Linked DNA regions of Astyanax mexicanus. The protein of the gene in region 2 interacts with the protein of the main gene of each other region in a pairwise test. Links are inferred from orthologs where the notes say so. Each region holds a gene or a part of one and is shown on either strand. Other genes may lie near its edges. The genes, in order: cdr2a, enkd1, si:dkey-174m14.3 and pdlim7.

Region 1 (7,299 bases), on a different chromosome or scaffold from region 2:
GTTTACTAAGCAAAATGCACCTTATAACCCGATGCACTCATGTATGAAAATAGATGTTCATTGATAGTACACCTTATAATACTGTGCACCTTATAGTGCGAAAAATATGGTATGATAACACCACTAGAATAGATGGTAGAGTGTTAACACTACTTTACAACATGGAAGGTTCCTTGCTTCACCAGCAGTGTTACTCTACCCTGTGGCATGTAGGTTGTCCTCGACCCACTGCTGAAGCAATTCTATTTCATAGCTTGGAAGTTTTTTTAACACGCCACCAGAGTGACTCTAAAGCACATATCAGGTCAGTTTTCTTGTCTAGCCAATGAAGATGCTGTAATCCATGACTTGGATGGTTCCTCTGCTCACAACCAGTATACAGTCAGTATTCACCACAGCTTTTTTTGTTTACACATGAGAGTCAATTACTCTACATCACAGAGCAAAGTGACTCTAAATTTAGGACTCTATATTGTTTCCAAAGCCCACCACTAGAGTAAATTGGCTGGGATGCTTCTCAGCTATTACAGCTATTGTCCAATGACTTTTCCACTACTTATTACTTAGATTTTCTTGTGCCAACTTTACTGGTACACATTTCAGTCCTCTCGCTGCCTGCTGCAGAACTATATATGCTTTTGTTGATGCAGAACGTCTTTGGGCTTAAGAAAAGTGCTGTGCTGCAGAAACCGATTGGTATAATTACTAAGTGCTTCAAAACAGCAAATAGTTTTTATCCTAATCCTCTTTTTATTTATTTATTTTTTTTTTAAAAAAGCTTAATTCTCAGCTCATATCTTGTGGAGGTACATGGGCCCCTTATCCCTGCCAAGAAACAGTGTAAAAACTTCAGAACATAGCTGGAGGGGAAATGTAACCTCGATCTCCTGCAGCTGCTCCTGGTTGGTGGAGTACATCTGCTGAAGGCCCTGTTCAAGCTCATGGTTCCGGTCCAGGAGTGTCTTGCCCAGCTGTGCGGCCAAATGTAAATCTGCCTCAGAGAAACACACACACACACACACGAACAGTAAACATTAAGCACAGCACGACAGAATATCCTGTCAGCCAGAGGCCGGACAGTCTCGAGGTATGAGTCATAAGAGACTTATCTATCCAAGAGCTAGTTACAAGGACTGCTTTAGACGTAAGTAGCCTGCTTCATATGGTCTTGGTGAAGGACGCTTGAAGGCAACCCGTTAACATACAAATGGCTGTCAAAAAACATATCAAATTGAATAACCCATGCTATTTGTTCCAAAAGAAAACATCAATATCATTAGGCCAGGGGAGGGTAATGTGATATTTTACTGTATTGTGATATACAAAATACTGTGTAACATTTTGTGAATATTGTCAGTGCTTAAATAACACTGACAAACTGAACATTTCAGTAAAGAGTGCATAAAATGCAAGGCAGGTGAACAAATAAACTTGGCAATATAGTGTATGTAGCGAAAACTTTATTTTCCCCTTCTCCTTTATTTGTAAGAAACATGCATTTGTGAGATGTGCAGCAGAGCTGAGTAAGTGAGTCATTCCCATGAAAAATCACCAGCTACCCTCCGACAATGACAAACAGCTCATTCTGCCATTGACTTGTTCTGTGCTTGATGATCTTTTTGGGATGTCGTCTTTGTGGCACGTCTCAGACATCGCTCCATTATATGGAACTTGTTTTGTGGCACAACAGCTTGAAGTTGCATGCCAATCGATGAAGCAGTCATCCATTGGCCACTTTAGCAGGGCCAATGCTAATCTGGGAATAGCAGAAGCACAAAACAAGTGGCAATAACAACAGCAGAATGAGCAGAATAAGTTTGGCAATGGCAGAGAAGATACTGTGCTCTAGTGCTTATCCAACAAATGCATGTTTCTTACCAATGTGACAACATTTAAAAAGATAAAATTACAGGCTTTTTAACTGTACAAGATGTATAGCCAAGAAGCATTGGTCCAACAAAAAAGAATCAACCAAATACAAATTGCCTTAGTTTTTGTGCATTGTTTAGATGAATCTGTGGCTACTTGATATATATATTTGCCTAGATAGAAAGAAAGGTACTTTGAACCAGTGATTGGTTAACTGAATTATTTTCTAAGGAAATTTAGTATATATATATATTTTTTTTTGCAACGCCATAGAAGAACCATTTTTGTATAGGATCCGTCAGTGTGAATTGGTGGGGAACACATAAATTGACTATTTTTTAAGTCTGTAAAATGTCATTCACACAAACCTCTTTTACAAAATTGAGCCTTTTGGAAACAAAAGTGGTTCTCCTTTATTTAAAAGAGTGAGGGGCCAACAATGCTGGTCCACTTGCATCAGCAGTCACTGCAGCAGTGAAGTCAATGAAGCTTTAAAAGGGCCTCTATGGGCGTGACCTTCAGCTGACACAACTATGCCGTAGCTTTAGGGGGAAGCCAACAGCAAAGCACCGTTACTGTGATGTAGAACACAGTGAGAGAGTCTTTGGATATTGGATAGAGACATGAAATTAACATTAACATCTCAATAAACCAACAATATTTCCACCTTTCCACCTTAAATAGTGCAGCAGTTACAGAAGCTCACACGTCTCGTCATGTTACTTTTAAGGTGGAACGGTCAATTCCAACAATACCAACTTCCGTTTCAGAACAGAAATAAACTAATTTAGTTAATAAAACAGATATAAACATTAGCTAAAACACTGGCATTCCCAGCCTCACCCTGCTCCAGGTCCTTCCTGCTGTACCACAGCTCCTCTTCATTGTGTTCAAATCCCTCCTCCACTATCATATCGGTCAGCATGCTGGCTGGGTTTTAGGGGGTCTCTCTCCGACACACCGAGTATTAGTTTCAAGTTCTGGAAGTCTTCATACAGCTGCTCTCTTTGTCTGGACGCTACATTTCCCTCTTCTTCCACCTCCTCCTCCACCGGCTGCCGCTCCGCTACTCGCTTCTCCGCATCAACAGCAACGTGGCAAATTCACAGCCCTCACTACTGAAGCAGCGGCGGCAGCAACAGGGGGCGGGACAATCCGCACCATAACACCGAGCCCGGCCGCTTGATTGACACCGTCACTGACCAATCAGGAGAAAGAGGGCGGGGCGGAAGGAAATGGGTATGTCCTAAACAGATCAACAATGCTGCCTACACACAAAGGCCCAATCCCATTTCACTCATCGGCCCTTCCTCTTTGCCCTACCCCTCTGTTTTTTTACGCGTGCACGTCTAGGGGTATGGTGTCCTGATTCTTGTTAGGCTGGAGGGTTAAGCTAACTATACACTAGACGACTTTAAAAAGACTAACATCATGAGAACCTAATACGTGGGAACAAGATAATTAAGGTGTGGGAATAAGATTAAGTTGGAGCCAGAGAATAATAAAGTTTGCTTTTCCCTAAATTAATGCTAATGAAGACGACTGAATGTTACATCAAATCTCTAATTCAAGGATCATCATTTGTAAGAAGATGGAGAGTGAATTGGTTTCTTTTTATTTTCCTCTTGAAATGAATTTTGGCGATATTTTGGAGTCTCTTGCACTGAGACATGGCATGATTCTAGATTAAAAAGCAAGCTTCTAAAACAAAAGCTAAATTCTAGAAAAGCAAGCTTCATTATTTTCTGGCTATGACCTAATTATTTTGTTCCCACAGCTTAATAAGTCATGGCCACGACTTATTAATCTAATTCACATGCCTTAATTATCTTATTCCCACACATTAGGATCTTGTTCCCACCCCTGAATAAGATGTGACCACGTATTAGGATCTCATTCCCATGCTCTAATAAGTTCTTTCAACATGATGTCACCTTAGGGGCTTCGTAGACACCCTCTCACGTCTAAAGACAAGTCACAGACTTTTTAGTCATAGACTAGTCACAGGCTAAGATATTGCAAAGTCTGGAGATTTTGCAGGGTCACTATTTACAAGACTGCAACTACATTCTTACTGAGATTTTTTTCATAAATAATTATGATTAATTATTGTATTCGAAGCCAAATGTATCAGGTTTGCTTGAGAATGTTTGTTTACAACAATATAAAACTATAAGCATACAATATAAAATAATTGTTTTCCTTTTTTCATCTCTCTTGATACACTGACACTTCTGTGTCGCATCTCACACAAGCTGTGTAAACACTGTAACCTATTTGATCCCCATCCTGGAGGACTGCTGTCCAGCAAAGTTTAGTGACTTTCCTGCTCAAACACACCAACTACTGAACCTGGCAGCTAACGGTTAGGTGGAACCAGCTGTGTTTGAGCAGACAAATCACCAAACTATGTTGGACTATCTCGGGGAGAGAAAACACACCTCCTCTAGATGATTAACACTGATGGCAATATAAAAAGCAAGGTGTTTCTTATCACTCCCATCACACAGTTGTAGCAGATGGAAAATAGCCCTAAAAGAAGGCAATACAAAAACATGCAAAGTGTGTCGTATGTGTCAAACATTTTTCGTACAATATCTGTGTACAAAGTGTACAAACATCAGTGCGCACACACACACACACACACACACACACACACACACACACACACACACACACACACTAAAATAAACATTAATCACAGTATAAACTAATGGTCACATGCCTGACAATGTAAACCTGTGAGTCACACGAGTCTCATCTAAAAGCTCTACAAAGACTTTGTCAAACATCTGATGATGGCACTGTGACCATGTTATCATGTTTAAACTAGGCCCATATTTTGCTTTTTGGTTGGTTTATATACAGATGTAAGGCTGAAACAGGTTCAATCTAGCAAATAGGGCTCAGAAAGGTAGGCGTTTGGCATATATGGGCCACAGGTAGGTAGGTGACACAAAACCCCATTTTTCTGCAGTTTAATAAGTTATTTAAAATCCTGTTTCCATACTGAAAAACTTTCAGTTGCCTGTCCACTCTCTACTCCACTTAATAATTTCAGATCAACGAACAAACACCCAAATTATTCAATCTGACTTACTGGATAAAGTGTTTGATAAACCTAAAACAGATTAACATGTTTAACTCAGGCATAGGCAGGCTAACTATAACCTAGATAGCTAGCTAATAGGGTTAACCCAGGCTAAACAGACTAATACTAACTGAGTTACCAGATTTAACTCTAACTCTAAAAAGGTTTAGCTAAAACAGACAAACACTGACCTAAATGTAAAATAAATATAACAAACCAATTCTTGCTCTAAAGATTATCTAGTTCATTTTAGTTAAAACATGCTGTTGAAAGTTGAAACTCAGTTGTGGAAAAGATTACCCTGGCTAACCTAGGTTAACAGGTTTAATGCACACTAAAACGGACCAACTCTGGCTAAAAGGCTGTGACAGGTTAACTGGCTAAAATCATTATCCCAGATAATGATTATCCCCCAAATTCTAATTAAAATGTATAATTCAGGCAAAGAAAGACTAACTATTGCTGGTAAGCTTATAGGGATAACTCAGGCTAAACAGGCTAATGCTAAATACTAGATACTAGCTAGTAAGCTATTAAGTTTAACATAGGCTAACTGGCTAAATGTTTAAATCAGGCTTTAAGGTTCGGAAAAAATATCTCTAGTAACAGATGTAACTAGACAGGTTTATTATAGTTAAGTTAATTGATTTAGCTCAGTGTGCAAGAATACAATATGCAGTTTGTTAATTAGCTTCGACTAGCATTCACTGCTTATTAGGGCACAAGTATGCACACTCGTTAGGCTGCCTTCAGCCTGTTTCCGATTGACACACGCCCAGTACACATGGAATCCGCCTCTTCCGTACACACGGAAAAAGGTTTATCCAGGTCCAGGCAGCAGTTTAGCCGAGCTCGCTGTCAGACAGTGAATTGTGTGTGTTATGAATGTTTTAATCTGTAGATGATCATAGACAAATTCACATCATGAAGCTCTTCAGGCTCTCTGCGCATCCAGCTGCGGTGGCCTATTCAATGACCACTCTCGGGTCCAGCATGATGAACAGCATCTTCAGCTTCTACTACGTGAAACTCTTCCTAAACAAATACAGGATATCTGAATCAGCCTTCCACCAGTCTCAGGTGAGGGCTCCTGCACACTGTGGACCCTAAACAAATAATGAGATATCCTCAATACCAGTGTATCTATAGAGCTGTAACGTTACTGTATGAGCTCTGTACGTACCCCTAAAGGGGGGTTTTGCAAGCCACATGTATGCATATACATCTCTGGAAAAAAATAAGAGACCACTTAAAAGTTATGAGTTTCTTTAATTTTTCAAATTGAAAACCTCTGGAATATAATCAAGAGGAAGATGAATGATCACAAGCCATCAAACCAAACTGAACTGCTTAATTTTTTTTTTCTCGCATAAAGTTATCCAAAAGCAAAAGAAATGTGTAAGACTGGTGGAGGAGAACATGCCAAGATGCATGAAAACAGAGTTATTATGTCCACCAAATATTGATTTCTGAAAGCTTAAAACTTTATGAATATGAACTTGTTTTCTTGCATTATTTGAGGTCTGAAAGCTCTGCATCTTTTTTGTTACTTAAGCCATTTCTAATTTTCTTCAAACAAATGCTGTAAATGACAATATTTTTTATTTGGAATTTAGGAGAAATGTTGTCCGAAGTTTATAGAATAAAACACCAATGTTCGTTTTACTCAAACATATACCTATAAATAGCAAAATCAGAGACATTGATTCAGAAGTGGTTTCTTATTTTTTTTCCAAAGCTGTATATAAACAACTACGTCCCATACAGAAGCTCCTTTGCATCTTTTAGCCTCACTTGTTTCACAGAATTGGCATACTTGTTGTATTATTACTTATCTGTGTTCTCACGTAGCATGCATCACAACAGCAATGCCCCTCCTAAAAAAGGCAGTCTTAAACTGATGAAGCTGGTTAAACTGGTTGATCAGCCTAACCAGGTTAATCAGCAAAATATGACATGCTGATGAATGGAATGAAGCCCATCCAAATTACAGTAGTATGAAAGTTTGACCACCCCTGATCATTATCATGATTTTTCTTTATAAATCATTGATTGTTTGGATCAGCAATTTTAGTTAAATGTATCATAAAGCAGATGAACATGAAATTAAGTTTATAGGATTTACAGAAGGTGTGCAATAATTATTAAAACACTCTTAGGCAGGTGCATAAATTTGGGCGCTCTTGTCATTGTATTGATTTGAATACCTTTGGCACTAATTGTTGGAACACAAGATTAGTTTGGTAGGCTCATCGGAAATGTTCCAGGAAGAACTCTGAAATGGTCAAATTGGTTGGTCAAAGAGTTCTTAATTAAAGTTATTTAGATTATCTGGCAAA
Region 2 (7,726 bases):
GCTTAATCTCTACACGGTAGTTGTCTACAGGTCTAGCTGTAACTAGAGCTTTGGCGAAAACATACTTTCTCTGAGTGAATTTAGAGTTTCTCTCCTCTCTCTGTCGGACATCTGAGTGTGTCCAGCAGGTGCAGACGGGTCAGGAGCGTTCCTCCGTCTCTCTTCTGCCTCTCTCCTCCACTGCTCCTTTCTTTCTTCCAGACTAAAACAAAGGAGAGAGAGAGGAAGAGAGAAGCAAAAATTAAAAAACATACCAATGACCAATCACACACACTGATATGGGCAGATACTGTAAATACTGTAATAAAGAGACAATGCTCCAATCATGCTTCTGGGTTTGTTTTAACTCTCAGTCAATATGTATGTTCTATGATCTGTGTTAAATATATTTGATATGATCACTCACTACTGGGGGACTCGGCCCTTCACTGCGCTCGGCGGCTGCTTGTTGTTCAGGTCCTGTAGAGACTGAGAGCGTTTCAGTGCGGTCTTTCTCGCAGCGCGTGCATTATGACTCACAAAGTCAACAAAGTGTCCTCTCACCTCCATCTACACCAGGAGATATCAGATATTCATTTTTAATAACATGAAAACACAGTTGTATACGAAATTAACTGCATTCGCTTCAGTTATAAGCAGTTTTCTATAAACAGTGTAAGTGTGTATGTTTATAGGAATGTGTGAGTTTACCTCTGGATCTGCTGTTTGAGGTTTTTGCCCGTTTTCAGAGGGTGATGCCGACACAGACTGAGGCCGACTAGGTTGAGGCCGACCCCCCGCCCCACACACAGAGTGAGCTCTTAGGAAGTTCTGGCATTCTGCCTTTTTGGGGTGGCTTTTTTCCTTCAGACAGAAGTACAGAAAGAGATAACACAAGCACACAAAGTTTATAAACTATACAATATACATTACTCTATTACTATACATTAATGCTGAACAACAATTCCATTCAATTCCATCCAAAAAAATGAAATACTTACTTGTAACTGGGCCATGACCCTGGAGGGGATGTCCTGGTATTTGGGAGAGCTCCACAGGGCTTTGACAGGAACCGGCTTTGCTCGCTCTTTCTGCGCCTCCTGCTCACGGAATCGTCTCTGGATCTCACGCAGCCGTCGCACGTTCTCTTTCCCATAATCCTGAGCTGCAGGTTCTGAGGAGAAAAATAAGAGAGAAAACTTAACATGTAACTTCTTTTGTGAAGCATTTTTTTCCTTTTTTTGAGTTTTTGTTGCACCTTAAATGCAGACACAGTTATATTAATATTCAGAGTAAAGGAAAATCAATCCATTTAATTTTTAGAATAAAAAATCCTTTTTAAAGTGATTTCTGATACTGAAGTTGTGTAAAAGTGTGAGAAGCACAGCCGATGTGTATGTTTTATTACATGTACACTGTTTTTTGTGTTATGGACTGAGCTAAACCTGAAATTGTAACTGAAATGTACCTTAATGAATTGATATTGAATCAAATAGGGATATTTTAAATCAGAATTGATGATTTACAGTGGATTTAGTAAATCAGTGGTGATCCCCAGCTTTAAATCTTACTGTGTTTAACAGGGGGGGGCTTCAGGCAGACTCCCTCCAGTTTAAGGAGAGCCCCCACCTCTCCTTTCTGGCTTCTTTCTAGAATGTGTTTGGCGTTTGGGCCGATGCGAGGAGGAGGATGAGCGGGGCGGGCGCTGTAACAGCCTGGATGCAGAGCAGGGTCTGGGGCTAAGGGTCCATTTAGAGTTAAAGATCCACTTTTAGAATTCCCCTCCAGACGACCCCGAGCTTCATAGACAGGAAACATTACAGTACATAACATTACATTAAGATAAGACACAAAGGAAATAAATGATTGATGAAAAAACTGATCACAGTCACCATCTGACATCAGTATGAACACAAATACAGTTTTAGAGATGTTTTATTATGGTGTTGTTTGGTGAAATAACTTCCAAATCCCTACCAGAAGTAGGTCGTCTGTAGTATTCGGGGAAGAGGGAGGGGTCTGGTGGAATGGGCCCAGAGATCATCGAAGGTCCTTCACACATGATTTCTCCAGTCCCTTAATTCCTAAACCAAGAGTTACAATGGTAGAAGAACATGATGAGGACGGTACCTAGAGAGCAGCGTCTGATCAACACCAGACTATAGGAGTTACAACACAAATATGTTTACAAGTAGAATAAAACTAAGATACCACTGTACAAAGTGAATACACACACACTTCAAAAACTAAAATCTGTTTAGTATGAGGGTATTTTTCTTCTAAATTTCATCTTGTGTTCAGTACCAGTCTGGACACAGGCTTTCTCTTTGAGTTCAGATCTGCAGACTCTTGTTTTTTTTAATCTCAGTATCTTCATGATTTAGAGTCACCTGGAATAGTTTTCTCAGCATCTTGAAGGAAGGAGTTCCTGGAGGTGCTGAACAATAGCTGCTGCTTTTCCTTCACGCTGTGAAGCTCCAGCTCATCCCAATTAAATCACCTCAAATCACCATCTCAGATCATCAGCTTTAGATCAGGAGATTAATGTGGAGGAATAACACTTTTTTACTCTTTACTACAGAGTTATATATATTAATCTCCAACATACATTCAAATTATTGAATAAATACATTTAATAAATAAAGAAAGACATTGAATAGTACTGTTTATAATATTTATCTAATATATTTATTATAACATATAACAATGCACTATACTTATATTCTCGGGGTTAATACGGTGTTAAATGTATATAGAATAGATATAATGTATATATAACAGATAAAAGCTAGCTGTGTGAGCGCTGTGCTAAACCGCGGGTCCGGATCAGAATTACTCAGCGGTGTATAAATTAACCCTGAACCCGGATAACAGTAGGGCTGATTAATAACAGGCTGATTAATAACAGGCTGATTAATAACAGGCTGATTAATAAAGTTACCTGTAATTTAAACGCGTTTTCGGTTCAGTCCGTTTTCAGCCCCGTAAACACACCGCCTGATGACGCAGCAAGCCGAGTCTATCTCCATGGCAACGGCTTAAAGACACAGCGCCGCTTTTCCCCCTCTTTAATAATTATTACATTTTTAAAACATTGTAACAGTTTTATTTGCATTAATTGCGATTAATAAATGTTGCTTAATGTTAAAAGCGGTAACATTAACAAAGATTAAAAACACAACAAAATAATAATAAAGAAATACTTTAATACGGAGCCCCTAAGGAGACATCATGTTAAAAATAATAATCAATTTATTTTTAAAAATGATGTAACATGATGTCACATTGTGGGCTCCATACATTTTCTTTATTTTAATATTATAATTTTATTAAATTGTAGATCATTGTAGAAAACTATCATCTAGGAACTAGGACAATTTTTTTAAGATAAAAGTAACGTTACAAAAAAAGCACCATATTAGAAAATACTCTCAGCAAAAGCGTAGGTAGGATATGTGGATAGGCTAAATCACTGTATAAAGTAAAGTCCAAAAGTGAATGTCATATACGTGATTAGAAACTATATATTTTTATTGTTTTACTGTTTATTTGTTTCTTTTTTCTTTAGGAATTCTAGGAATTATCGTGACATAAACATAAAACATTATAAACATTACCATATAAAAATGTTGCGGTAAAGAAGCACATATTGATAGGTAGCATAACTCGACAGAACATCGTTTATTCCTAATATCTACTCGGGATCGGATAGGCGGGAGAGTGAGAGGAGTGCGCATGCGCGGCGCGTCCTGCCCTCTCCGCCTGTTTCTCCTTCAGTGTGTCCTCCTCTCTCAGAACCGGAGTCCCGCAGCCCGGAGACCGGAGACCAGAGCACGGTAAGAGCCCGAGCAACACCCGCCCTGCGTCTGCAGAGGGTTTACTGTGCAGGCCTGCAAACAGACAGACAGAGAGATATAGAGAGACAGTCAGAGAGAAAGACAGGGACAGGAGGACAGGGAGACAGCAGGGCTCTTACCGAGGCCGCGCCACCGTTACAGCTCCCGTACTCCTGCCCCGTGCACTAACCGAGCTCAGCCCTGCAGCGCCTGCAGGTTCTCCGGTTCTCTGGTTCTCTGTGCGCGTGCTGGGTGTGCGTGTGAATGCTCACACTGCTTATTAAGCTTAATTATCTTATTTATTTTATTTATAGAGATTATTTGTGTAGTATAGTACACGATATCGCTGCTATAGTGTGAGATAAGAGGTTTATTCAGGGCCTGCCTATCTGCAGTCTCCTGTTTTATATTTGACAGCTGAGGTAATTTATTAATTTATTCGTATATAAAAGCTCAACTCCACAAAAACACGCAGTGATATTTATCTTTCTCTGCTCCTGTTTATTCTCTGATGTAACGGAGAGCAATTAAATAATCCCCCCCTCCTCCTCTCGCCTATTAGCCTATTGTGTGCATGCAGGACCGGTGTTGTGTCGATTTTTGCTACCTTGTCAAACCGTGCTACCCTAGTGTATATTTAACTGTACAAATACAAAATAAGCTTTATATTAGAGCATGTTCGCAGTGAAAGTCCCAGTAGATGTAGGTTAGTATATTTGTATAGCATTAATCACTGTATCATGGTAAAGTTAATTTAAAGGCAATGAGAGGTAATTTACAAAACTGCTTATGTATTTTTTATATATATATATTTTTTTATAATTATTAACTTCCTTTTACACCTTTGTGCAATAACAGTGAGTTCAGATTGTAACAGATTAATTGTAAAAAAACAAAAGCACGAGAAATAATTAAAACGCGCTGGTTAGCGCATGCGCAGTGCCTTTAGGAAGCACGTATCGACGGGTAGCATAAATCGACAGAACACCGGCCCTCTATGAAACAGCCCAGAGCTGCCTCTGATACTTTACTCACAGTAAACTGCAAAATAACGTATTATCTGAACGTTAGAATATATTTTACATATAAACTATATGTACATTATTTGGGTCTTTTTATTCTCTATAGCTACGGTACATGTTTCTTGTGAGCATGCGCATTACAGTGGGCTGTAAAAGAAGGACAGCAGAGCTGCTGTGTGTGTGTACAAGTGTGTTAGTGTGTAATGTGAATGTGAATATGTGGGTTCAGATGCAATTACTGTATATCAACAGCAGAAACCTTAATTTCACTGTTTCCAATACATTAGCATTAGCTTTTTTTGTATTGATCAGTATTGATTACGTTAGATACAGATATGCAATATAGATTAGGGCTGCAAAATATTGGAAAAAGGCAACTGCAGTATATTGTTAATCTCCTGTATAAATGGCAATATTAAAAATTAGGAATGCACAATGAACCAATACTGAATATTAAACCAATACTAATGTATTTATTATGTGCCAAAAAAGACCAAGAAACACTGGCCTGTTACAGCTACAACATCTCTCTGTAAATATATATGTTTATTGGCATCCGAAGAAATATACGTTTAATATCCGTTTTTTACAATTTGTACCCTGACATTAATGATTTCCTTTTTATTGACAAGTTGGGCACAATAAATGATTTAAAAATATTCTTAATCTTAATATAAGGGTATATTACCATTATTATGCTATTTTATATTATTGTGCAATTGGCATTAAATTGTCTTATCAAAAATATTGAAGAGATACATTTATTGTGACAGACCTAAAAGCAGTACAAATATTTATTTTATATCAATCAAGTTTCATTTTCCTTACACGCCATTGCATGCCCTGCATGTGACTATTGCATGCTTATAATATAATAATATAAGTAATTTATGTGATGGCTTCAGATGTATGATCAGAATCAACTTTGTATTTGTTGGATTTTTTTCTGTCACTCTGAAGGCATGGCTTTTCCACAGAAGAGGTAAATATTACAGGAGTTTGTTGTAGTTTCGTATTGTGGTTAGAGATGAGTGGTGTAGAACTGAACATGTGAATTTAATAGAAATGTGGGTGATGAGAAGTACAGTTATATTAGGGATTTATGTATGATATAATCTGAGTTTTATCAGAAGTAAAATATTTTACAAATATATGTTGGAAAAAGTAGCGGCACGTTTAGACATTGCTGTCATAAAACATATTAAGCAGGTACTGTATATACATCATTATACTAAATATTTTTTTATTATTATTAGTCCACAATTCCTAGTTCAGAGGAATTGGACTGATGCGCTGTAGTTAAATGCAGCATTTTTATTGTTTCCTAATAAAACTATAGAAACATATTATGACTAGGAGTCAGTTATATGGCCCTAATTCAGGCTCAGTGGTGTTTGTGTGTGTTTGTGTGTTTGATCAGGTTTCAGTAGTACGGTAGCAGTGGGTGTGTTATAGTAAATGTGATTGCTTAATATCTTTCTAATTCTGTAACGCTCTGACCTTATCCCCTCCCTCACACACACCACACACTACCCCTCACACACTACCCCTCACACACACCACACACTACCCCTCACACACTGCCCCTCACACACCAGCCCTCACAGGTCATTGTTAGACCAGCGTATATAAAGCTCTGCTGTACCTGAAGCAGGAGAATCATCACCCCTCAGTTTCAGCCTGTCAGCAGCTCTGATACTGAATTATTACTCAACACTAAAACCTGCTTCAGTTAAACTCAGAGTTCAGCAGATACAGATACTGATGTGTCAGCAGCTCACACTCCTCCTCCTTTACCCATAACACCTTCTTCTTCTGTCTCAGACTCAGACTGGAGCTTTACTCTCCTTTTATATCTATTAATATAATATAATATCTGTTCATTGGTAGATATCTGATACTGATCTGATATAGGATATAGAGATCAGGCTGATTGAGACTGGGGCTGTGACGGCTCTTTATCAGTCTTGTGCTGAGATGATCTCATCACTAGAGTATTAGTGTGTGATTCTGTCCTCCAGGTGGTGGATGTTATATTATTCATACTAATATCAGTATTAGTATTCGTATAGTATGTAATCTCGACTGAAATTAAGGTGTGTACAATTTATATAAATGTTGGCCATATCATCCTACAGGTGAGTGGGAGCAGGTCAGGTAAAGGAATCACTGTTTGATCAGTGTGTTGAGTGTAGAGGTGGGCGATATGGTCCTAAAATAATATCACAGTATTGGTATTTTTAGCGATAACGATACTCCTGGCGACTCTATGACAAAACACTGAAAAAAATATTTTAACAATACACTACTGCAACAGAATGAAAATTTAATTTTATTATTACATATGATATTATATGATATGATATGGCACACCCTTAACTGAGATATTAAAAAATACAAGAATTTTTTTTCAGATTTGTAACAGAAGTCGATGATCCAGAATATCATGATAATAATAATAATAATAATAATAATGCACTCCAAATATCTCCATATATCGTTCACCATATTAAAAACTGTTGGTGATATTATTGTGTATGATATGATATGGAACCCCCGTAGTTGAGTGTAGGGCAGGATGTGTGAAAGAGCAGAGATAAATTCTTCAGTTTTGTAAGCTCTTCTCTCCGTCACATGGAGACTGGTGTCAGATTTACCCCACTATTTATAGAGTGGGGGTTTAGGGAGTTGGGGGGGATATATGTGTGTGTGTGTGTGTGTGTGTGTGTGTGTGTGTGACACAAGGCTGAAAAGCTGTGCTCTCCTGAGGGCAGAAGGCCGACCCTTTGGACCAGAACCCTAATCATGAGAAGATGTTTGAGTGGGGTCTCAGTATGTTGTTCTCGGTGTAGGGGTTCTGGGGGGAGGAGCAGAAGATGACCCTCGGTT
Region 3 (7,308 bases), on a different chromosome or scaffold from region 2:
CTAGTCATAGACTTTATTTTCCTTTCAATGGGAAATCTACATTTAAAAACCTGTGTAGTCCAAGACTGGGAGCTACCCCTAGAAGTGCCAAATGTCAAATGTCAATGCTTCAATATTTTACTAGCAGTGCCACATCTGTTTAATATACTTATACCAAGAAGCACGCCTTGTGCTATATTGGCACATCTGCCGGACCTGCATCACGGCTTTTCTGTCCATTACATGTAGTGAGTTGCAGTGGAACAAAAAGTTTGGACACACTTTAAATTTTGTGTTTGTTCATTATTTTAAAATTCTGCAGTGTAGAGGAATACTAAAGACATCCAAACTATTAATTATTTAGTAAAAAAAAAGTGTTAAACAAACAAGAATATGTTTTACAATCAAGATTTTTTTAAAGTAAGCACCTCTTGCTTAGATGACAGCTTTGCATATCTAGGCATTGTATCTTTATGTGGTAGTCACCTAGAATGACTTTCAGTTAACAGCTGTACCTTTTTAAGAGTTAACAATTACCTAAATTTCTTGTCCTCTTAATGTGATTGAGAGCATCAGTTGTTTTTTGAAGATATGGAGTTTGTGTATGCTGATTAGCTTTATTTTGATTAAATTAGTACAGAATAAAGAATACTCAAGGAGATTAATTTTCAAGAAGTTTGAAAGTATCCATAATAAATTAATTAAAATTTAAAAACATGAAGTGATTTTGTAAGTCGTAAGCACTAAGTACTGCTTTGCTTCTGTACTGTAAGCTCAATAAGGCTGAAACACACTTGTTCTGGAAGCAAGAGGTGGGTCTAACAAAGTAAGTGAGTATGGCTCCAGCTCTGGCAAGTCTCCACTAACTATCTAGTGGATTCACATGAATTACATGAGCTGCATATAAAAAAAACAGACAGGAAAACGTCTTAATGCAGGGTTTGGGACTAAGCAATGTGACTGAGTTTAAAGTCTAAAGTGTAGTTTAGACTGCCTTCAGTATCTCGTATCACTATATTTGCTCTCCTCTGAAACACAACTAGGGTGTCACAAGATTGTTTGCAATTGCATAAATAAATGCAAGTATAATTTGCATTACTGTCACTATTTCAGGTTGCCCCCCCCTCCACCCCCATCAGAAAACTGAGTGTGCATGGGCCTAAGTGGCACTGTGCAAAGCTAGTCTGCTGCAGTGTGGTTTCTATAAGCCTGTTTAACAGTGTGAGGCAGGGAAATGAGGCATGGCAGAAAGAGAGATAGAAGAGAAAGGAAAAAGTAGAGAGAGAAAAGAGGGAGAGAGAGGGAAAGCAAGAGGAAACAGAGAGAGAGAGGGTGAGAGAGAGAAAGAGAGAGAGGGAAAGAGTAATGCAGAAGCTCCTGCTGATAACAGTCTGATTCAGGAGCAGTGGATGAGTCAGGCCAGCCTGCACTGTTTACTACTCTAACACAAACAAACACACACACACACACACACAAACACACACACAAACACACAGGATAACACATATGCACGTTTACTCATAGCACCAAAGGAAAATTAGCTGAAAAAGTGATACCTTGCCCAAAACATGCCTTAAACATTTAGACATCTAACAAGAACGTTCTACTTTCTAGGACACAATTATTTGCTCAGCTTGGTTTTTGCCATGCTGGTGTCAGAGGCTATAGTGATCACTGCAGTGTGTTCATGTCACTCACAAAAAACAAACTAAATCAAACATGCATTTACATTAACATTTGTTATGAACAAAAAATGTAATGTGGGCTTATGGACCTCCTAAAGTTGCTTCTGAAAGTGACTATAGTCAACACTACCAAAATCTAATCAAGCAATTCAAAAAACATTTGATCCATTATATCTGTGTGGACTATGATATTTAAATATAATTTTTTAAACAAAACTATCACTTTAAAAACATGTGGGTGTTCTAAAGAAGGCCTTCTATTTGTAAACCCACCTTGTGGATGCTTCTGGGTGAGGCAACAGCTCTGGGCGTGCTCTTGGTGAAGCTCCGTAAACTCTGGTAGGATCCAGAACTGGACTCTGGAGAGGCTGGACCATCTTTCGCATCTTTACTTTCAAACGTTATGGCCGTCTCCTTTTTGACCTTCACCTCCTTCAGCTCTTCGCCCTTAAACACACTGTCAATGTCTGTCTCCAGGTATGTTTTGCCCACTGTCTCCTGCATGCTGACCTGCTGAGACCTGTTCTCTGGCTGGTCCCGTGGGGCCTGCAGTCGGACGTAGGTGGAGTCTGTTGAGCTGGACCTTCTGCGGCAGTTAAAGGCCGTTAAGCTGGTGGGCTTTAGCACTTGGTGGCTCACCTCGTCCAGGAACTGGGAGAACTTCAATTTGGCTTCGATTTTTAGCTCTAGCCGCTGCAGCGACCCGCCCATTAGAGCCAATTCCTGTCCAGTGGTCAGTCCTAGGACAGAGCCCCTCTGGCCCTGCTTCCAGCTCAGTGCAGCCCCCTGCTGGTCGCTGCTTCCCTCAGACCCACATGAAGCTGTTCTGTAGCTCGGCCAGTGCTGCTGGACATCCTCGCTGTGCTCCACTTTTCTGTCTCTGGGCAGAAGCTGCTGGACGCTGGAAGCGTCTGAACCCACGGTGTCCCAGCTGCTGCTGGAGCCCACACTGCTGGAGGAGGCGCTGGAGGAGCTGCTGAAGGACACTGGAGGCCATGCTGGACCTTTGTGGAGAGGCTGAGGATGAACAGAGGAGGAGGAAGTAGAGGAGGTGGTGGTGGAGCTCCATGATGTTCTCCGAATCTCGGTGTAGAAGCTGCTGGTCAGCATGCTGCTGTCCTGCACAACTGGAGTGGATGCATCGAAGGCTGGGACACAAATGGCTTGGACACTAATGGCTGCGCAGTACTGATTTTAAACTGTTCAACCCCAATGTGTCCCAAAAACACCACAACGTTCAATATGTAGGATAAGTGGTCTCTGCCTGGCATCAGGCTGGGCCATTCCTTTCTGCTTTTATGTATTCAGAAGAATTGAGATGCTGACTAATAATAATAATAATAAAAATAATGATAATAATAACAATTGTTAAACTGTTATAAGATAAGAATTATGTTATGCCAGGCATAATTTCTTAAAAGTAACAACAATAAAAGCAATAAAACAATACCTGATACATCTGGTACATCTTTTCTGATAAAACCTTTAAAAATAACTATAATATTTCCCCTTAAAAAATATAGTAAAAATGTATACTTCATTCATTAGGACATGTAAAATAAAATAATATACAACAGTAAAGTAAAATGACAGATTTTTCCCAAAACAAAGAAATGGTTGATACAGTCACAAACACCACCTAAAAAAAGGCTGCAGCAGAAGCCTGAAAAACATCACAAAAGAAGAACACGAAAGTTTAACTATGGCAATAGGTCAAACATTGATGCAGTTATTGCAAACAAATTTTATGCAACTAAGTATTGTGGCCTCACTGTTCCAATACTTTTTGAGGAGAGTGTATATGGTTATTTAATGGAAAGGCTCAATTGTATCCATAGTAGAATACCATTTAGTTAAGCCATAACAGTTCCATATTTAGAATTGTTAAAATTGTATCTTAACAATTCAGCAGTTCTCTTTTACATTACTTCAAATGACTTTTTTCAAAGTGGTTCTATACAGCAAGAGAATTGGTTCCATTATTGTACACCTTTTTTTGTGTGTGCTGGAGATTGATTAAAATCAGCACAAGTCAGCCTGCAGTTACGGTCAGTGCTTCAGAGAGTGACCCTGCATGTGAGTTGATTCGTGCTCACACCGTTAGCGTGCTCGGTGTGACTGTGTTTCCAACACCCCGCAGTCCCACCGTTCTGCCGAGTGAGGGAACACTTCAGAGAACCCCCCCAAATCAAAGCATGTGACCCACAAAGAAGAGCTAATGAGGCTAAACCCATGTAAAACTGAGACTTGCCAGGTCATCAGTGAGAGTGTTTTCAAGAGTTATGGCTTTAATTAGGCCGTCTATTGATGGCAGCTCTGCCTGTGTTCTCTTTTTCAGACGCTTTCCAGGTCAGTGCATCCTGCTGTGAGGATTGATCGCAGATAAAACACAAAGCCTGATTGCTGGGAGCGATCAGATTCGGCACCAGTGCTGAGAGCAGCAGGCTGGTAATGCAGGCTGAACTTTTATTTACACAGCAGATTTTTCTGAAAATCTCTGAAATGTACAAAAACAAAATTGATACAGTGGTACGAAGAAGTTTGGGCACTATTGATAATTATCTTGATTTTCCTCTCTAATTCAGGTTTGGTTGGTTTTTCAGATCAACAATTTCAGTTGAATATAAATCATATAGTAGATGAACATAATGATATTTGAGAAGTGAAATTAAGTTTATAGGATTTACAAAAAGTGTGCAATAATTATTTCAATAATTATTTCGACCCTCAACTTTAACAAGATTCCCAGTACCTGCACTGGCCACACAGTCCCACTGCATGATGGAACCGCCACCAAATTTTACTGTGGCTAGCAAGTGTTCGTCTTGGAATGCTGTGTGTTTGTGGCGTGTGCTCAGAAAAGGCTTCTTCTGCATTCCTCCTATACAGCCTCCTTGTTTAAAATTCACTGAATAACTGAACGATGCACAGTGACTCCATCTGCAGCAATATGATGTTGTAGGTTTTTGGAGCTGGTCTGTGGGTTGACTATGACTGTTCTTACCATCCTTTTCCACTGATTATCTGAGATTTTTCTTGGTCTGCCACTTCGGGTCTTAACTAGAACTGTGCCTGTAATCTTCCATTTCCTCACTATGTTCCTCACAGTGGAAACTGACATCTGCTTTTTGTATTCTCCCCTAAGCCAAGATGTTGAACAATCTTTGTTTTCGGGATATTTGAGAATTGTTTTGAGGCTCCCATGTTGCCACTCTTCAATAAAAGATGCAAAGAGAAGAGAAACTTGAAAAAAAAAAGCAGTTGGTTTAACCCTTTCTCTTACCAAACTAATTTTGTGTTCCAATAATTAGTGCTAAATGTGTTCAAATCAATAAAACGACAAGGCTGCCCAAATTTATGCACCTGCCTAATTATGTTTAAATGATTATTGCACTTTTTCTGTAAAACCTATAAACTTCATTTCACATCTCAAATATCACTGTGTTCATCTGTTATAAGATATATTTAACTTTAATTGCCGATCTGAACAACCAATGATTTATAAAGAAAAATCATGAAAATGATCAGGGTGCCCAAACCTTATCATACCACTGTATATGTAATATTTATCATGTAAAATAAGATAAGATTATAAGAATTTTTTATCAGTCTCTTCAATGGATTTGATTAATTTTATGTAAAAAAAAATGTAATGTGAGATATTTTAGAAGGTAAATGCTGAGACTTTTATGTCACATCCTGTCCTTTATCATTATATTTAGTATTTTGTACATTTATAAATAACATTTTGCTTCTGTTTGAAATAAATCACCCAATATGTGCTTTGACCCATAAACTGCTTTTGACCCTCCACCAAGTTTGACAGATGACGTGGTATTGAATCTGATAATGAGTATTAAAAATAACTCCAAAGCTTTAACTTTCCTGAGAACTGTAATATAAATGGGTTGAGCTAAATGTGGTAGAACCAAATATGTGTTAGGTTGTGTTGTAGGTTAAGTTTAGCTTTAGTTTAAGGTATATATTAAGGTTATATTGTTAGGCTAAGGTGTAGGTTAAGTTTAGTTTTAGGTTGAGGTGTACATTAGGTTTGAGTTTAGGTTTAGGTACAGTAGGTTGTATTTTAAATTTGGGTTGATGTGTAGGTTAGATGATTGCTTCAGAGCTTTCTCTATTATAAACCTAAATGTGCTTTACTATATACGATTAATGTGCTAAAATGTAATAGAAGGGTCTAAACCTTGGTAGGCTGACAGCTGAGAAACAGTGATTTAAAAAATGCTGTTTTTGCAGCTTAGTTTGCATAAATTAATGGTTTGTTTTCCTTTAGAATAGCATGGCCATGTTATTTCATCACTTTTGATATATAATGTCCCGTGATGTAGGTTGAACCCTTTTTATTGGAGTTGCGTATCTAAAAATAGTCTGAGATATGTTAGCACGTTAGCCTGAGGCAAATGCTAACACATGCTAGCTGTTGGCACAGCTTGCTCACGCAGCTCGGCACTGTGCCGAGATAAAGCACCCCGAGCTCTAATCAAAGCCTGCTTGAAGTTTCTGAAGCTAAATATAGCAACTCCTGGAGGAGCAGGCTCTACAGCGCCCCTCGCTGCCGGGCTGTTTATGCCTCTCTTGCTAATAAACAAACCACCCCGCAGACTCATTCTGATTGCCGTTTGTTGTCGGAGCCGAGACCGGAGTGGACCCTGCGGTCTCCTGAACATGTCCACCTAGTAATAAAGTGGACGGTTTAAACATTCTGCGATGATAAATGTTTTTAATAATCTGCTCTGTTTCTCTGGAGGAGCTGGGGGCCAGTTTAGCCTCCTCGCCACTGACAGGAAGACGATGAGGAGAAAGGCCCCTGGAGAGCCTGTGGATGAGGAATTGATTCCTACTACGCAGGAGAAGAGGGGATAATTGGCGACGACTGAGCTGGAGGATGCTTTTTCCCCCACTCACAGTGAACGAAGAGAAGCTCTCAAGCTCTTTTATTCCAGGGGGGTTTACAGTAGAATGGACACTAGAGCATCTACAGAGACGCCGGCAGTGCAACTCTTTTAAATTGAAGGCATCTAGGTGTTGGCTCTGTGAAAATCACAGGTTCAGTCCCTGGTGATGCCACAGCCATTTGTGGCTCGGAGTCCCGAAGAGCATAACTAACCTCTCTCTCTAGTGGTGGACAGTTTAAATGGCAGGGGCAGAAAAAAATATATATATTGCACAGCGTGAACCATATAGGGTTAAATAGTCTTCATCACATTCAATCCAATACTGATTGCCTAACTGGGCACTTCATCATGTTTGTTTTTTTCTAGATCAACACTTCTGTTACTTGACTGGATGTGTTGTTATATAATGAAATATAGATATAGTTGTTAGGTAATGAATGTCTAGACTACTGAAAGCCAGTAATGTAAGTATAAATCTGAATTGGTTTTGTTTGTCTTGCTATCTTTTGCATATCTGTGTACTTTGTGTACAAACCTGGCATCTTGCAGCACCTCGTTTGTGTGTCTATGCGTGTGTGTGTGTGTGTTTCAATTATAGGTCTAGGTCCCTCTCAGGAATCGTGAACTAAATAGGCAGTGAAATTTCAGTGAGATTTCAAGCAACACAATAAAACAGCTGACACTATAAACTGCACTATTTCTGTAATGGGAAGCGTTTTTGAATATGCAGT
Region 4 (7,941 bases), on a different chromosome or scaffold from region 2:
ATGGCAGGGTTCACATGGGCATGGCAAGTATAGGTTGCAGTTTCCTAGTCAAACCTCTTCTCAGTACTCTCTCCTTCTTTCTGGTAGCAATACATAATAAGCAGGACTGAAGCCTTCCAACACTCCAACACTTAAACATGAAATCAAGAATCTACAAGAGTTAGTGTTAGTGACAAAACAGAAGAACCACATGTGTAGCACGTGTGTTACACTAGAGCACTATTAGTTTATCGTGATCTTTGAAATCTTTGATTTTATCAAATTGAAAACCTCTGGAATATAATCAAGAGGAAGATGGATGATCACAAACCATCAAACCACCAAACTGAACTGTGTGGAGAGTGGTGTAAGTGGTGCAGTGTGTAAGACTGGTGGAGGAGAACATGATGCCAAGATAAAGCATGAAAACTGTGACTAAAAAACAGGGTTATTCCATCAAATATTGATTTCTGAACTCTTCCTAAATTAATATGAACTTGTTTTCTTTGCATTATTTGAGGTCTGAAAGCTCTGCATCTTTTTTGTTATTTTAGCCATTTCTCATTTTCTGCAAATAAATGCTCTAAATGAGAATATTTTTATTTGGAATTTTGGGAGAAATTTTGTCTTTAGACTTATATTGGTGTGCTGCACCACATCAACCACTAATACCAAATTAATAACCAATTTACATCCCATTTGTGTCAAATGATTTGGAATTTAGACCCAAATTAAAAGGTTTCTCTCAGCCTGATAAAACTCACTCAAACATCTTTAATGTGTTGGAATTTAGACAAATGGACAACTTATTCTTTCTATTTTAAAAACTATTTAGAGGCTATTTTATTGCGTTTAAATGTGTTTAATTGCATTACTGCCCTACACATCTAATTACGTCTATTTGGGATTCAGACTAAATTTAAAATGGGGGTTTTCTCAGGCCGAGAGAAACTAAAACCTCCCTGATGAGTTTAAAATAGTTAAAATAGAGTTATCCCCTCATTCTTACACAATCAAACCTCCTTAATGTGTTAAAATTGGGATTTATAGACTACTCATTCTGTCAAGTTGGGTGCATACCAAAAGTAAAATGCATTTTTATCAATTTAGCATGCTTTTTATGCTAAATATGTGTATTTTTGGGATAAAGGCCTTTTCACAGGCTGACAAAACTGAAACCTCTCTAATGGGTAAAAAGTACATAAGGTCAGTCTTCTAAAAACTAAGTATGTGCCTATTTAAGTTAAGTTTTAGACTCAATCTAACACAACTCAAACCCCCTGAATGTGTTTAAGTGCATTAAGTCACTGCCCAATACATCCAATTAGTGTCTATTTGGGATTTAGACCAGATGAAAAAGCTTGTCTCAGGCTGAGAGAAACTCAAACCTTCCTAAAAACTAATGGGGGTCGTGTAATGACATGTTGGCTGCCAAGAATAATGACAATGAAGCGTAATTAAGGGTAATGACCACTTCCCGAGAGGTTCAACAGCACTGCAGCAGCCACAGTGTAAACTGCTGCATGAGCAGCTGTATGAATGAATGAAACTGTTAATGAATAGCTTGAAAGCTGTTATTATTTTTTATTTTTTTTAAGTTTTGTGGGTAGAGAAGCCTGAAAGAAGAGCATAAAGCAGATAGAAATACAGTAGGAAAGTTTAAAGCTAAATTGTAGTGCTGTAGTAATACTACTAAAAGTCTTGGTCTTGAATCAAATTAAACAACTTTAAATCCTAGAATCAACTAGTAAAAATCTTGGTCTAGATTCGCATCTGATGCGTCCCCGTCTCAGTATTGACTCAGACTGAATACTCAAAGCCTCAGTCTTGGTTCAAACTTAACTATTCAAAGTCTTGGTCTTGACTTGATTTAAATTACTAAAAGTATTGTGCTTGACTAAAATTAAACTCCTAAAACCCTTAGTCTTGACTTGATTTAAATTACTAAAAGTATTGTTCTTGACTAAAATTAAACTCCTAAAAGAGTCTTGAATCGGGCTTTTAGTTTCCCAGTTTTGTTTCAAACTCTAAAACTATAGAAAGTCTTGGTCCTGACTCAGATCTGATGTGTACTGGTCTCAGTCTTGAATTTGAATCGACAACTCAAAATCTTGGTCTTGACTCAGACTCTACAACCATGAGTCTTGGTCTAGACCCAGACTATACAACCTTGAGTCTTGGTCTAGACCCAGACTATACAACCTTGAGTCTTGGTCTAGACCCAGACTATACAACCTTGAGTCTTGGTCTAGACTCACACTCTATACCATGAGTGTCGGTCTAGGCTCAGACTCTACAACCATGAGTCTAGGTCTAGATTCAGAGACTAATTACTCAAAGACTCAGTCTTGACTCAAATTCAACTACTCAAAGTCTCGGTCTTGAATTAAACTACAAAAAAAATCCTGGTCTTGACTGAAGAATAAACTAGTAAAAATCTTGGTTGTGACCCACATCTGATATGTCGCGTTCTTGACTAAAATTAAACTACTAAAAGGCTCAGTTTTGACTAAATTGAAACTAGCAAAAGCTTTGTTTGTGACTAAAATTAAACTACTCAAAGCCTCAGTCTTGAATCAGGCTTTTTGTGTCCCAGTTTTGTTCTTGACTCAAACTCGGCTATAGAAAGTCTTGGTCTTCACTCAGACGTGATAACAGTTACTGAAGTCTTTGTGTTGACTCGGATCGGATGTGTTTTGAGTATAAAACTATGTTTCTGGCAGTTGTTGATAAATAAATCTGTAGGTTAGTGATTGTCCGCAGTGTTAGTGTTGTTAAAGCTGTTTTAAACTCCGCTCTGAGTGTTATGGTTTTCTGGTTCAGTAAGAATCTGCAGCGCTGGTGATGAATTACCTCCTTGGTGTCTCCGGACATGGTGATCAGGCTCCGGGCGGGCGGCGGGTGGAGGCTGTAGGGTAGCGGGGCTGGAGCTGTAGTGTAGCCGGGTTCAGGCTGTAGTTCAGCGGGGTGGAGGTTCGGGTAACTCCGCTCAGCAGCGCGCGCTCTCCCTCTACCACCACTTTTAGCAGGACTCACCGATACGTCATCCACCACGTGTGCGCGTGACGCGGCGCTCTCCGCTTGCCGTTATTTTTTTCCCCACCGGTTTTCCGACATGTCCCGCCCCTGCGGGCCTCTGACTGGCCTTGACGGTTGATAGCCTAGCTCTCTGATTGGTTAAAAGTTTGTACTCAGCGTTCACTACAATGCTATCTGTTTAGATAATATTTATCATTAATTTAAGATACTAATACATTATTTTTTAGATGATATTTCCTTATTTCGAGATACAAAAAAAATGTTTTGATTAGCTAGTATCTCATTATTTTACTATCTTTAGATATCTCATTATTTCGAGATACTAATGTATTGTTTTGAGATAAATTCTCTTTTTTTTAGATGCTATGGCATTATTTTGAGAAAGTAATTCATTATTTTTAGAAGCTATCTCACTAGTTTAGATGCTATCTCATTTTTTTGGAATATTAAATTATGTTTAGATATTAGGCTATTATTTTTATATATACTAAGTCATTTGAAGATGATTTTCTTACATAATGACAAATATCTTAAAATAGGGACTTTTATCAGTGCCACAAGTAGAATCATTTTTTGTTCCATAAATAATCATTTTTGTTGTATAAAAAAGTTTATATTAGTTATTAATCTTAACATTCACTTATTTAAACCTTTAAATATGAAACCTTTAACTTATACTTATTTTACTTATTTGCTTCACTTTTTTCACTGTGCAACTATGTGCAATATATACACGGCAGTACAACAGTTATATATTAACTGTCACACCACACTCATATTTCTTTTGTAAATATGGCTCTTTATAGAATTAAACATTCTTAATTGACAATATTTTATGTGTAAAACCAAAGCTGATTTTTTTCCTTAAATTAGTCCATTTAGGATTTAAAATAAGAACTCAATCCTCCCCAGTGTGCTGAAAGAGTGTGAGGGCTGATAGCCTCGCACTCTTATTGGCTAAAAAGTTTGCAGAGGCGTGGCTTTGCGTAAACGGGTGGGTAAAAAAACAAGGTGTGTCGTGCACCTTTATACTGTGAACTTCTAAGCCACACTTATACACGTATTACACACATACAGTCACGTAGTGAATCAGGAAACCCCACGAAAACCTGTCTTTTAATATATAAACCTTTTTCACAATACTAATTAATTGGCACAATAAACACATAACAGAGAAGGTAAATAATTTTATCAAAAGTATTTAAAATGAATTTCTAAAAATGAATGAATAAAATAAAACAAAACCCCCCATTTTGTAAATTGCTTCTGTATTTTTATTTAAATTGGCCTCAATTACAGAATTAATTAAGTAAAAAGTAGTTTTAAAAGTGAATGCACCTACAATGCAAGCACATGTAAAAAAGGTTAAAAAAATTCCCAGATTTTTTTTTTCCTTTTTTTGTGTTCCCCATACACTATACACTTTATGCTGAGGTTTATCTGTTCCCTACACACACTCTACAGACCAAACAGAACAAAAGTATAAACAAAAGTATTTTCCTAATGCCGTCCATTTTCACCTGACAAAAAAAAAAAAAAAAAAACACTTGAACGCATGTCGTAATTACGAACTCCAACCTCGAAAGTAGGAATTTACGAGGAGGACTTGAAGGCAGCATGAACCCGCTGATTTTGGCTGATTCAAAAATGCTAAAAAAAAATGGTAGGGGTAGTTTGGGAGGGGCACTGCAGTGATGTATGGGTTTAGGGGCGGGGCAGAAGGAAGAGGTAATTGGGCTGAGCAGTGAGCAGTGTGCCTCTGGACGTCACCAGGGGGGCGATATTATCATACTTGCCTTTAGCAAAGTTAAATATAAGAAGGTGCTGTAGATGTCGAAATGACTGCAATAAAGAACATTTAGGAAATGTTTAATCAGGAATGACATGTTTAATTACTTCAGAGTAACACATTTTAATTTTTAATAAATAAATAAAAACCGTGGTTTAGGGTTTAGTGCCTCTTTAAAGCATAGTGATAAACTCCTAATAATAACAATAAAGGTTGTGGTGAGTGTGTTTACCACTAGTTAAGTACTGTATGTGTGTTCAGTCTGTTCCAGCAGATGGAGACACAACACCATACAATCAGCCCCAGCGTTAGAGTTATACTCTCCTCTCTGAGTTCTGACCTCGGCTCTCCTCCACGTCCCTGTTTTTACTGCTTTTCTGGGACGAAAGGGACGAATTAACCTCCAGCTGACCTGGTTTAAGAGTCCGGCTCGATTCAGGAGATAAACCAACTCTTTTTTCAACATATTTATTTAACTTGTTTTTCCTGCGTTTAAACCTGAACAAAGCCACAGCTGGAGCCTAAGAGAGCCCGGCCGAGGTCTGAGGAATAAAGCAGGTGTTTTCGCCGCGGTGAAGATGGCCGACGACTTCGGCTTCTCCAGCTTCTCCAACGGCGCCGAGGCTGAGGAGGACCCGGCCGCGGCCTTCCTGGCGCAGCAGCAGAGCGAGATCGCCGGCATCGAGAGCGAGGCGGACGGCCTGGGGCCGAGCGGAGGCACGTCGTCTGTCTGGGTGATAGCGTGTTAGCCTGTTAGCTTAGCTTAGCTTGTTAACATTAGAGTCTACACAGATAAAAAGAGTCTGGACAAGGCGATACAGTTAATTTAACAAGGTATAATAAAGCGAAAACAGGATTTTAACGTTTTAACACCAACAAGACACACATTGGCTCCTTAAAAGCGCTTAAAAAATACAAAACAATTAACCAATTTCTAAACAAGCTAGCAAGCTAATGCTAACGCTAAACAGCATCCAGCTGTTCAAATCAAGAGTCAAGTCAAGAGGCTTTTATTGTCATTACATCTGAGTACAGGTACACAGTGTGATGAAATTACGTTCCTCCGGAACCATGGTGCAACATAGAACCACAAGCAATAGACAACATAAAGTGTAGGAGTGACGACAGTGCAACATAAAATTATAAAATTATAACACTAAATAACAATAAATACAATAAATACAAAAGACGAGACAATTTAAAGTCAGGACAGTGCAGTACCGATACGGTATAATAAAGTGTATAGTGAGGATAAGGTGCAGAGATGTGTGACATACTGTAACATATAGAACATATATAATCACAGCAGTTACTGAGGTAGAGTTTATAGTTTTTAAGAGTGCAGCAAATAAAGTCATGTCAGCCTCTGTGTGCTGACTGGGTGTGTGTGTGGGTGAAGTTCAGTTCTTTGTGAGTGTAAAGGGGGGGGGGGGGGGGGTGTACAGTTTAGTTTTGTGCGAGTGTGTTGGGTGAGTGGTGGGTGGGGTGGGGGTTCAGTTCTGTCTCTGTGCGTTGAGAAGTCTGACTGCCTGGTGGATGAAGCTGTTGCAGAGTGAGTTAGCAGTAAATTATTAGTTTGATACCTTGGATACAAATGTAATTTATAAAAATTGTGACGTTCTCTCCTTTTAATACTGCTTCTCTATTTATTTTTCTATTTATTGTAAATTTATGAACACTTTATTTTGTTCTGAGCTGTGATTTTAATAAAAAGGATTCGTTAATCTTGATTAATCTTGAAAATATTGCACACAAGTGTGTATAAACTAATGGGATATATACATCTCTGAAAAAAATTTAGAGAGCACCTCAGTTACTGAATCAGTTTGTCTTATTTTGCTATGTGTAGGTTTATGTTTGAATAAAATGGACATTGTTTTATTCTATAAACTACAGACAACATTTCTCCCAAATTACAAATTAACTTATTGTCATTCAGAGCATTTATTTACAGAAAATGAGAAATGGCTGAAATAACAAAAAATAAGCAAAGCTTTCAGGCCTTTCATATTTATAATCATAAAGTTTAAAGAAAATCAGAAATCAATAATCCTGGTCTTAATCACAGTTTTACACACTGCTTTTGAATAACTTTATGCCACTCTTGTTGCAAAAATTCAAGCAGTTCAATTTGGTTTCCTTTTGATTATATTCCAGAGGTTTTCAATTTGCTAAAAATCAAAGAAACTCGTCTCAATTTTTTTTCCAGAGCTGTAGAGAAAACATTTTTAGGTTTAGTGAAGACAATGGAAATGACAGTTTCCATTAAACTCCAATTAAGGTGGAATATACTAAGTGTATCTTTAGTGGTGGTAGTGGTAGGTTCTGGTAGATTCCAATGCTGTGAGCGTTTCTCTACCTGGTTAGTTAACTAGTATATTACATCTTTACTGTTAAACTTTTGGTAACATAATTACTGTAAGATTCTGGTAGGTTCTAATGTAATGATCATTTAGGGTAATACATCTGGACTGTCAACGTCCCTGGTAGAATATCCGCTGGTGTATTCCACTAGGTTTCAGTGTTTTCAGCACTTTTTATATAAGGTATATTAACACTACTTACTGTAGTACACCTGAGCTTTTAAACTTCTGTTAAAATAACGTCTGTTGCCACCTCACCGAATGAGCAAGCTGATCATTCATCTCTGGTTTACATATAGGACTCAGTAACAGTCATATAGCCGGGCAGGTTTTACAGCATTCCTCTTCTACTAGTAGTTCTTCTGAGAGGAAATACGAAAAGCGTTGCTCAACAAGACCAGAACTCACAGGATTTTACAGTCTGTCTCTCTTCTTTTCTTAAATCAGATGCGTTTGGAGAAGCACCTGCTGCAGCAGTAAACGGAGACATGTTTGAGGTGTGTTTTTATGGTGTCATTTACTTTTTTTTAATTAAATGGAATATTGGATAAGGTAGATAATTTGTATGTTGTAGGCTGTTGTGCTGTAAGTGTGTAGTTTGTGTGTGGTTACTCAGTATAAATCAGTATACTCTGTATAAATCTACAATGTTTACAATGTGACCACCATAGATGGTCAATATATGTTTTCTAATGCTGTTTTATGAATGGTTTAGGACTCGAATGGAGTAACAGACAGCTATGCAGCCATCGCCCAGGTCGACCAGCTGAG

Evidence for each region.
Region 1: the proteins of enkd1 (region 2) and cdr2a interact in binary tests that used the Homo sapiens proteins (3 or more experiments, as listed by UniProt). The two-hybrid records come from large-scale screens. The link is inferred for Astyanax mexicanus from reciprocal best matches to the Homo sapiens genes ENKD1 and CDR2.
Region 3: the proteins of enkd1 (region 2) and si:dkey-174m14.3 interact in binary tests that used the Homo sapiens proteins (3 or more experiments, as listed by UniProt). The two-hybrid records come from large-scale screens. The link is inferred for Astyanax mexicanus from reciprocal best matches to the Homo sapiens genes ENKD1 and BEGAIN.
Region 4: the proteins of enkd1 (region 2) and pdlim7 interact in binary tests that used the Homo sapiens proteins (3 or more experiments, as listed by UniProt). The two-hybrid records come from large-scale screens. The link is inferred for Astyanax mexicanus from reciprocal best matches to the Homo sapiens genes ENKD1 and PDLIM7.

The regions. Positions count from the first base shown.
Region 1 is NC_064410.1:7,015,564-7,022,862, reverse strand, and holds the start of cdr2a (cerebellar degeneration-related protein 2), read right to left. Parts: upstream 3,009-7,299; 5' UTR 2,795-3,008; coding exon 2,713-2,794; intron 992-2,712; coding exon 879-991; intron 1-878. Other genes in the region: mfsd13al (transmembrane protein 180-like), read left to right, coding at 5,885-6,040.
Region 2 is NC_064419.1:252,795-260,520, reverse strand, and holds the start of enkd1 (enkurin domain-containing protein 1), read right to left. Parts: upstream 3,006-7,726; 5' UTR 2,921-3,005; intron 2,506-2,920; exon of another isoform or gene 2,370-2,505; intron 2,064-2,369; 5' UTR 2,042-2,063; coding exon 1,957-2,041; intron 1,779-1,956; coding exon 1,551-1,778; intron 1,154-1,550; coding exon 981-1,153; intron 844-980; coding exon 691-843; intron 550-690; coding exon 407-549; intron 203-406; coding exon 66-202; intron 1-65. Other genes in the region: vdac3 (voltage-dependent anion-selective channel protein 3), read left to right, coding at 3,715-3,815. UniProt on the Homo sapiens protein: Microtubule-binding protein which regulates microtubule organization and stability. Promotes the stability of astral microtubules and facilitates the proper orientation of the mitotic spindle.
Region 3 is NC_064408.1:87,188,790-87,196,097, reverse strand, and holds the start of si:dkey-174m14.3 (brain-enriched guanylate kinase-associated protein), read right to left. Parts: upstream 3,001-7,308; 5' UTR 2,775-3,000; coding exon 1,938-2,774; intron 1-1,937. UniProt on the Homo sapiens protein: May sustain the structure of the postsynaptic density (PSD).
Region 4 is NC_064426.1:2,414,575-2,422,515, reverse strand, and holds the start of pdlim7 (PDZ and LIM domain protein 7), read right to left. Parts: upstream 3,006-7,941; 5' UTR 2,854-3,005; coding exon 2,833-2,853; intron 1-2,832. Other genes in the region: cltb (clathrin light chain B), read left to right, coding at 5,386-5,524, 7,618-7,667, 7,886-7,941. UniProt on the Homo sapiens protein: May function as a scaffold on which the coordinated assembly of proteins can occur. May play a role as an adapter that, via its PDZ domain, localizes LIM-binding proteins to actin filaments of both skeletal muscle and nonmuscle tissues.